Linked DNA regions of Oryctolagus cuniculus. The protein of the gene in region 1 purifies or fractionates together with the protein of each later gene. This does not show direct contact. Links are inferred from orthologs where the notes say so. Each region holds a gene or a part of one and is shown in the gene's direction. Other genes may lie near its edges.

Region 1 (4,042 bases):
CAGGTGAGCTGGGCCAGGGCCGCCGGGCTCCCGTGGGCGGGGCTCCCTGCCCTGCGTGCGACCCACTTCCCCTCACGCCCAGGTGAACGACATGAACTTTGAGAACATGAGCAACGATGATGCCGTGCGGGTGCTGAGGGACATCGTCCACAAGCCCGGGTGAGCCCCGCGCTGGTCCCGGTCCCCTGTCCACAAGCCCGGGTGAGCCCCGCGCTGGTCCCGGTCCCCCGTCCACAAGCCCGGGTGAGCCCCGCGCTGGTCCCGGTCCCCAGTCCACAAGCCCGGGTGAGCCCCGCGCTGGTGCTGGTCTTCTGTCCCCTCACTTTCGTTTGGTCATTTTAAATACTGGTGAGACGTAAGGCTCGATGTACGTGAAGCAGAAATGCGCAAGGTGACGGATAATTCTAGAGTGAAAACCCAGGCCGCCACTCCCTCACACCTGAAGTGCAAGGTTGCCCGTGCCCCTCTGCCCCTTGGGGTAGTCACTCTCCTGACTTCTGCGGCCCAGAGAAAAATCTGTGTTTCACTCGATACTTTCACCACCCATGCATGCATCCTCCAACAGCGGGGCTGAGTGCCACCTGTTGTGGGACTTCCTGGGAGTGGTCTTGCACGGTGGGCGGTGTCCTGTCTCGCTCAGCCGTATGACCCAGGAGTCCTCCACATGGGTGAGTCAGCCGCAGTGTGGAGCCTTGCATGCTCACTTTCTCTGGCCTGGCCATGTGCCTGCTTTTTTCTTCTCACTCTTTCTGCTCCTTAATCCACTTTTGTTGCAGGCCTTGGCTCTCCCGAGGCCTCCACCCTGCCCACCCCTAACTGGCCATCTCCTCCCACAGCCCCATCGTGCTGACTGTGGCCAAGTGTTGGGATCCCTCTCCCCAGGCCTATTTCACCCTGCCCCGAAGTAAGTGACGTCCAGGGAAGAGAACAGGCAGTGCGGAGGCTGGGCTGGGCTCTAGGCTGTGGAGAAGGGGCGGAGGAGGGTCAGGCACAGATGGGACAGGACTCTGAGCTTGGAGGGACGGGCCTGGCTTTCTGGGATGGGAAGTGACAATCTTGGTGGCGCTCTCTGTCTCAGATGAACCCATCCAGCCGATTGACCCTGCCGCCTGGGTGTCGCACTCTGCCGCGCTGACTGGCACCTTCCCAGCCTATCCCGGCTCCTCATCCATGAGCACCATTACATCCGGGCCCTCCCTGCCTGATGGTGAGCCCCCCCTCCACATCCCCGGGAGCCGCATCCCTGGGGGTGGGAGCCCCACCCCTAATTCTCCATTGTCTCCTCTGTCAGGCTGTGAGGGCCGGGGTCTCTCCATCCACACAGACATGGCATCTGTGACCAAGGCCATGGCAGCCCCAGAGTCCGGGCTGGAAGTCCGCGACCGCATGTGGCTCAAGATTACCATCCCCAATGCCTTTCTGGGTACGCTGGGCCCTGGGCAGGTGGCAGGGGAGGAGAGGAAGAGGAGAGAACCCAAGCTGGGCATGGCGCAGGCAGGGTGGTGGCAAGGGCTGGCCGGAGAACCTGAGGCCCTTTTGCCCTGTGGGTGACCCAGGCTCGGACGTGGTCGACTGGCTCTACCATCACGTGGAGGGCTTCCCTGAGCGGCGGGAGGCGCGCAAGTACGCCAGCGGGCTGCTCAAGGCAGGCCTGATCCGGCACACCGTGAACAAGATCACCTTCTCTGAGCAGTGCTATTACGTCTTTGGTGACCTCAGTGGCGGCTGTGAGAGTTGTAAGTTCTTCTGCCCGCCTGGCTGGGGGCGGGGCTGGCGTCCACTCAGGTTCTGCTAGACAAGCTGTTCACCGGGGTGGCCAGGGGCACCTCTTCCACGTCCCACAACAGCGCATGGGCTGCTGGTGCCCTGGCTGTGCCCTGCCCTGAAGCAGTAGTAGGTAGAGTTTCCAAGACCCTGTAACCCCCTCTCCACCCGTGTCACAGGTGGTCCTGGGGCTGTGGTTCCCGCCAGAATTTCCGTCCAGCATTCTAGGGTCCTGGCCTCCCAGGCAGTGACCTCTTCATCCCTTCCCTTGTTCTCCAGACCTCGTCAACCTGTCTCTGAATGACAACGATGGCTCCAGTGGGGCGTCAGACCAGGACACCCTGGCTCCTCTGCCTGGGGCCACCCCCTGGCCCCTGCTGCCCACCTTCTCCTATCAGTATCCAGCCCCACACCCCTACAGCCCCCAGCCCCCACCCTACCACGAGCTTTCGTCCTACACCTACGGAGGGGGCAGTGCCAGCAGCCAGCACAGTGAAGGTAAGCCGCCCCCAGATACCAGCACGTGCAGGGCGGAGAAAAGGGAAACCAGGAGAGCTGGAGCAGGGGCTGGCGAGGCCAGAGGACCCTGGGTCCCGGGCTCAGTTGTCCCACCCCTCTTCCCCCAACAGGGAGCCGGAGCAGCGGGTCTACACGAAGCGACGGGGGGGCTGGGCGCACAGGGAGGCCTGAGGAGCGGGCCCCCGAGTCCAAGTCCGGCAGTGGCAGTGAGTCGGAGCCCTCCAGCAGGGGGGGCAGCCTTCGCCGGGGCGGGGAACCTGGTGGGACTGGCGATGGGGGTCCTCCCCCGTCCAGGGGCTCCACAGGGGGTGCTTCCAATCTCAGAGCCCACCCAGGACTCCATCCCTACGGACCACCCCCTGGCATGGCCCTCCCGTATAATCCCATGATGGTGGTCATGATGCCCCCGCCCCCACCCCCTGTCCCTCCAGCGGTACAGCCCCCAGGGGCCCCTCCGGTCAGAGACCTGGGTTCCGTACCCCCAGAACTGACAGCCAGCCGCCAGAGCTTCCACATGGCCATGGGCAACCCCAGCGAGTTCTTTGTGGACGTTATGTAGAGCCGTTGGGGCCATGTCTGACTCCTCGGTGCTCCTGCTCGGTGGCTGCTGTCTGCCAGTCGCGCACCTGTTACTCCCCACAGTGCCTGGGCTCAGCCTGGCGGCTGCCGCCCACCCTAAACTTACTGCCACTGTGACTCACCAGCAGTGCCTGGTCCCTTCCCCTCCCGCAGGGGTACACAAGGGACCTGTGGTTACTCTTAGCTTTATTATTTTTTTATAAACTTTTTTGGGGTTTAAAGTATACTTTGTTACATTTTGGGGACTATTTTTTTAATAGACATTTCCTTTTTTATATGAAGAATTCCCATTTCCTGGACCCTTTCTTCTAACCCCAGAATGTAGCCTCCTCCAGTCACCCCGTTGGCTCTACCCTACGCAGGGTGGGGAGTGGTCCATGGTACCCTGGGAGGAGAAGGGGTTTGGGCCCCCCAGACAGCAGGCCAAGGAAGCTGGGGTATTTGGTACTGGGGCCGTGTAGCTGCCTTTGTTATTCTATTTATTTTAGTCACTTGTATAAAACACCAAATAAAGCAATAGAGGCAAACTCCCCAGGCCTCTGGTTCTTTCTTTGGGAGGGAGGTAGGCAGTGGAGGGAAAGACCGGAGACATAGTAGCCAAGTCTGACTTGTTAGAAACTGTATTTGTGAGGCAGCGCTCCTGAGAGCAGGCACAGTTCTGGGAATACGAGGCCCCCCTCAGGGTCCTGGCAGGGGGCCTGGCTTTAGCTTGAGAGAAGGCACTGATGGGCCAGACCCTGGGTGAGAATGCTCAGACGCCAAGGGGGCGGCTGGTGACCACGCCACCCTGCTCCACCAGCGCCGTGGAGATGCTTCGGAAGTTCCGGAAGAGCTCCTGCTGCTGGGGGTCGGACTGCAGAGCGGCCATGCTCTCCCGGATGCGGGCAGCAGCCTGTGCGGGGGGAGGGGGTTCAGGCCCGTACCTCAAGGCCCCCCCGCAGCATTTGGTAGCCGTAGCCCCAAGCCTCACCTCAATACACCAGCTGTCACAGAGTATTTTCTCGTGCTGGGCTGTAGGGTAGCCCTCGTTCAGGGCTCGTGAGGCCCTGGTTGAAAGCAGGAGAAAGTAAATCCAATCTGGGCTATGCCGCTGACCCTGGTGGGCCTCTCCGCACCCACCGCTTCCTCACCTGGAGAGAACCACCACCATGGCGTACAGGTCGATGGCCCCGTCTGCCAG
Region 2 (4,720 bases), on another chromosome or scaffold:
AGCTATTTACTGAGCCCCGCTGGGTCCTGAGAACTTAGAGAGGTGAACCCCATAACTTTAAATGGTCTGAAATTGCATACAGAATCTGAAACATTATATTTTTTTTTTGCTAGAGGGGAGCATTTGTAGATTCTTGAAGGTTGAGTGAATAACCCAAAAGATGTGTAAGGAGGAGCCGAGGAGAAGAGAGGGAAGAAGTGGGGGGCAGAAGTGCTGACAGTGTAGGAAATGGATTGTCTTCATTCGATCACGTTGGGCAGGTTGCCTGAATCTTCTGAACCGTAGTTTTCCACCTGCTTCTGGAGTGGCTGGCACACACCAGGTACTCAGAGACTCCGTGAGCTTCTCCCAACCACTGGCACCAACGCGTTTTTACAGAACGGCCCGCTTCTGCAGAGGCCTGGTACACTGCCGGTTTCCAGTTTGCGGCTCTTGGCATATGTGAAGCCAAGTGCTCTGACTGTGGGAGGACAGAGGAGTGACGGCCTCAGAGGGTCAGACTGCGGTCAGACGTGGGGTTGGTGCTGGCTCCTGTCACTCCCGAGCTAGATGGGTATCCTTAGGCAAGGCCCCCACCCTCTCCGTGCCTCAGCCCCCTCTGTAGAGGAAGGCAGACAGACATCCCTGCCCTTAGGTGCGGTGTGTGTGAGGTCCACGAGAGTTAGTGAACAGCAAGCGCTGAGAACACTGCCCCGGCGCATAGTGCGTGCAGAGCCAGTGCCAGGCTGTGGCTGCCCCAGCCTGTGCGAGGACAAGCCCATCGAGGCTTCTGAGCAGGGCCCCAAGCTTGGTGCTCACCGTCCTTTTACAGATGCGGCCCCAAAGGCCCTACAAAGCGCAGGTTGCTTGTCGTAGCTGAGATGAGGGCAAAACGGTGTTTAAACAGGTGCAAGACCTCAAAGCCTGTGTCCTCAAGGCGCTGCAGTGGAGACGAGCAACTTTAGGTGTGCAAGGGCAAGTCTGGGGGAAAACAGCTTAATCTGGAGTTCCAAGAGGGAAGAAACGTGATCCTTCTCACTCGTCAGCTCCGTGAGGTCGATAAGGGGGAGCTTGGCGATGTTCTTAGTTGTGGAACCATGGCTTACTTGAGACCCGGAGCTGCCCTGTGGGCTGTGGTCCCGCTATGACAGCACTGCTGTCCCAGTCCACGGCCACGCCCGGCTCAGGGCTTTCTCTGTCTCTGCTCCAGCACATCAACCCTGTGGCTGCGTCCCTCATCCAGAAGATGCTGCAGACAGACCCCTCTGCCCGCCCGACCATTAACGAGCTGCTCAGTGACGAGTTCTTCACTTCCGGCTACATCCCTGCCCGGCTGCCCATCACTTGCCTCACCATTCCACCCAGGTTCTCAATCGCTCCCAGCAGCCTGGACCCCAGCAGCCGGAAGCCTCTCACCGTCCTTAATAAAGGTAAAGCAAGGGGAGGGTCAGACACAGAACCCCAGAGAGAACCGAGGCCCCTAATATCACTTCTTCATGCTTCATTGAAGGAGACAGGAACAGTTTCAAATACACACCCTGAGCAGGCTGTGGGAGCCTCCAGGTCCCCACCATCTGAGCAGTCACACCTGCCCTGCGGAGCCTTCCCTGTTTCTCTGATATATTCTTAAAGTTAACCTCAGACATCTTGCCATTGTACCCATAACTTCAGTATGCGGCTTCGATTTTCTTAGGAAAATCTAACGTCACGTGCCATTACCTAGGTTGTCATTTCCTCTGGGTCTCTTCTATAGGACAGAGTCAGGAAATACTTACTTTAAAGGGGGACATCTGGGTGTATGATAATGTTTGCGATTCCCTTTTTCGTAGCATTTTATTTTGCTATTATTTCAAGGTTAAAAAAAGGTGGAAGAACAAACAGGAAGCTCCTCTTCCGTCTACCCTGTTCCCTAGATCCACCAGTTGCCATTTTTTTTTTACATTTACTTTTATCTTCTTCCTCTACCTCCCACGTATACTGCACATGAGGGTACTTCAAAAAGTTAATGGGAAAAAAATGGAATTAGAAGTTTATTTTGGTGCGAAGTTGAACCTGTAGTTTTTCATAATACAGGTTTTTCCATTAACTTTTTGAAGACATCATTCATTTGCATTGCATGCACACAGAATTGTTTAAAAGTAAGTTGTGTATGTAAGTATTCCATTCTTACCCTTAATACTTCAGTGTGTATTTCCTAAAAACAAAGATTATTTTATATAACCACAGTGCATAACAGTTATCAAGCTCAAGAAATTTAACATGGATACAATATAGTTTTAGAGCAATCTTCTTTTTAAAATATAGACTTATTTATTTTATTTGAAAGAGTTACAGGAGGAGAGAGAGATCTTCCATCAGCTTGTTCACTCCCCAGATGGCTGCCATGGCCAGGGTTGGGCCAGGCCGAAGCCAGGAGCCAGGAGGTTCATCTGAGTCTCCCATGTGGGTACTGGGGCCTGAGGACTTAGGCCATCTTCCACTGCTTTCCCAGGTGCAATATCAGGGAGCTGGATCGGAAGTGGAGCAGCTGGGACTAGAACCAGCGCCCATATGGGATGTCGGCACTGCAGGCTGCAGCTTAACCCGCCACGCCACAGTGCTGGCTCCAAAGATATGTTGTTTTGTTTTTTTTTTTTAAAGTAGCTTGAAATACTTCCTCTAGGTGTATCTCAGTTTGATAGACAACTTAAGTTCATTTGTTTGTTAGTTTTCAATATTTAGGGATTACTTTCTAGAATTTTATTGTAGAATAACTTTAGGCTTATACAGAAATTCTAAAAGATAATAGCAATTGCAGAGAGAGTTCCCATATACCCTTCCCTTGGCTTCCCGCGCATCAGCGTGTTGTGTAACCACAGAGAAGGACTAAAACACAGGGCAGTATCTTTTCTTTTTCTTTTTTGAATTCTACTTTTCACTTTGTAAATTTTTTTTTAAGATTTATTTGTTTTACTTGAAAGTTAGAGTTATGCAGAGAGAGAGAAGGAGAGGCAGAGAGAGAGAGAGAGAGAGAGAGGTCTTCCATCTGCTGCTTCACTCTCCAGTTGGCCACAATGGCCGGAGCTGTACCGATGCAAAGCCAGGAGCTCCCCGCTTCCCGGGTCTCCCACGCGGGTGCAGGGGCCCAAGGGCTCAGGCCATCTTCCACCACCTTCCCAGGCTATAGCAGAGAGCTGGATAGGAGGTGGAGCAGGCGGCAGCTTCACTGCTCCCCCTCAGCGTCGGCCCCGGTAGTTTCACACTCCAGGCTGTCTTGGGCCCTCGTCAGGTTTTCCACTTCCGCTCTTTCTGTGGATTTGGAGTTCCTCGCGCTCACACTGAGGTTCTAGACTTTGGGGGAGTGCAGCAGAAGTGATGCGCCCTTCTCCGTGGACTCTGGTTTGTTTCGTGGGTTTTTTTTTTTTTTTTTGGACAGGCAGAGTTAGAGAGAAAGGTCTTCCTTCCATTGGTTCACCCCCCAAATGGCCACTACGGCCGGTGCGCTGCACCGATCCAAAGCCAGGAGCCAGGTGCTTCCTCCTGGTCTCCCATGCGGGTGCAGGGCCCAAGGACCTGGGCCATCCTCCACTGTACTCCCGGGCCACAGCAGAGAGCTGGACAGGAAGAGGAGCAACCAGGACAGAATCCAGCACCCCAGCCGGGACTAGAACCTGGGGTGCCAGCACCACAGGTGGAGGATTAGCCTAGTGAGCCGCGGCGCCGGCTCCATGTAGTCTATCAGGGGTACACATTGATTTTTTTTTTCTCTTGTTAGTGGTGGTGTTTATTAACTGTGATCACTTGGTTACCGTGGCATCTGATGGGTTTCTCTTATTTTTATCTGAGAGAGAGAAAGCTCTCATCCACTGGTTTGTTGCCCAAATGCCTGCAACAGCTGGGTCTGAGCTAAGGCTGGAGCCAGGAGCTCGGTCCAGGCCTCCCATGTCAGTGGCAGGGACCCAGTTACTTGAGCCATTGCCAGTGCCTCGGAGGGTCTGCATTAGCAGGAAGTGGTGAGTCAGGTGACACGCAGGTGTCCTAACCGATGTATGACTGCTAGGCTCAGTGTCCCGTGCCGAGTTTAGCGCCCACGGCGGGGCCTGCCTGCAGCAGTGCTCACTGTGTTCTCGTGCTCTTTCTTTTCCCTGCTCCTGCGTTTCACTAGTTGGCCCTCTAAGGAAGAGCTGGCCCTCTCCTTGTTTGCTTATTTATGTCAGTAATGAACTCAAGGATTGTTTATTTTGTTCTTTGGGCTATATTAATATAATACTGGGGTTTTTTAAGGATTACTTTTCAGTTTAATTTTGAACTTACAGCTTTTTTTAAAAACAAAAAACTTCATGGATGTTTTCAACTTTACCCAAAGGCAGAGAGAAGTGTGCCGTGACTCCCCACGTGTTCGTCATCCGTTGTCAGTAGTTACCAGCACAGCTACTAGATTTTGATCTGTTCCATACCTTCCTCCTCCTCCCCTTTTTTCCTAGTTTTTAAAGCAAATCCCTAATATGTTACTATTTCATGCTTGCATACCTGTCACAGCATAGTTTTTTTCTTAATTGAAAACTTCTTTTAGGAAATATTTCAGGAGAATTAGACATGTTGGTGGGGAAAAGAATTAAACATTTAAGTATAAAGATAGTAATATCCATGCTTACTACCACCCAAATAAAACCAACTCCTTTGACTTATATAGAAGTACATAAACAGATTCTGGGGGTGGAAAAAGTTCCCATTTTCACTGAAAAGCAACTGAATCCATTCC

The links.
Region 2: the proteins of DVL2 (region 1) and PLK1 purify together in Homo sapiens (affinity purification with mass spectrometry; 6 studies listed by BioGRID and IntAct, with this or other methods). This does not show direct contact. The link is inferred for Oryctolagus cuniculus from reciprocal best matches to the Homo sapiens genes DVL2 and PLK1.

The regions. Positions count from the first base shown.
Region 1 is NC_091448.1:51,833,506-51,837,547, reverse strand, and holds the end of DVL2 (segment polarity protein dishevelled homolog DVL-2), read left to right. Parts: coding exon 1-3; intron 4-82; coding exon 83-159; intron 160-836; coding exon 837-904; intron 905-1,078; coding exon 1,079-1,423; intron 1,424-1,556; coding exon 1,557-1,736; intron 1,737-2,043; coding exon 2,044-2,262; intron 2,263-2,393; coding exon 2,394-2,842; 3' UTR 2,843-3,392; downstream 3,393-4,042. Other genes in the region: ACADVL (very long-chain specific acyl-CoA dehydrogenase, mitochondrial), read right to left, coding at 3,614-3,754, 3,833-3,908, 3,993-4,042.
Region 2 is NC_091450.1:15,668,361-15,673,080, reverse strand, and holds part of PLK1 (serine/threonine-protein kinase PLK1), read left to right. Parts: intron 1-1,189; coding exon 1,190-1,409; intron 1,410-4,720. UniProt on the Homo sapiens protein: Serine/threonine-protein kinase that performs several important functions throughout M phase of the cell cycle, including the regulation of centrosome maturation and spindle assembly, the removal of cohesins from chromosome arms, the inactivation of anaphase-promoting complex/cyclosome (APC/C) inhibitors, and the regulation of mitotic exit and cytokinesis.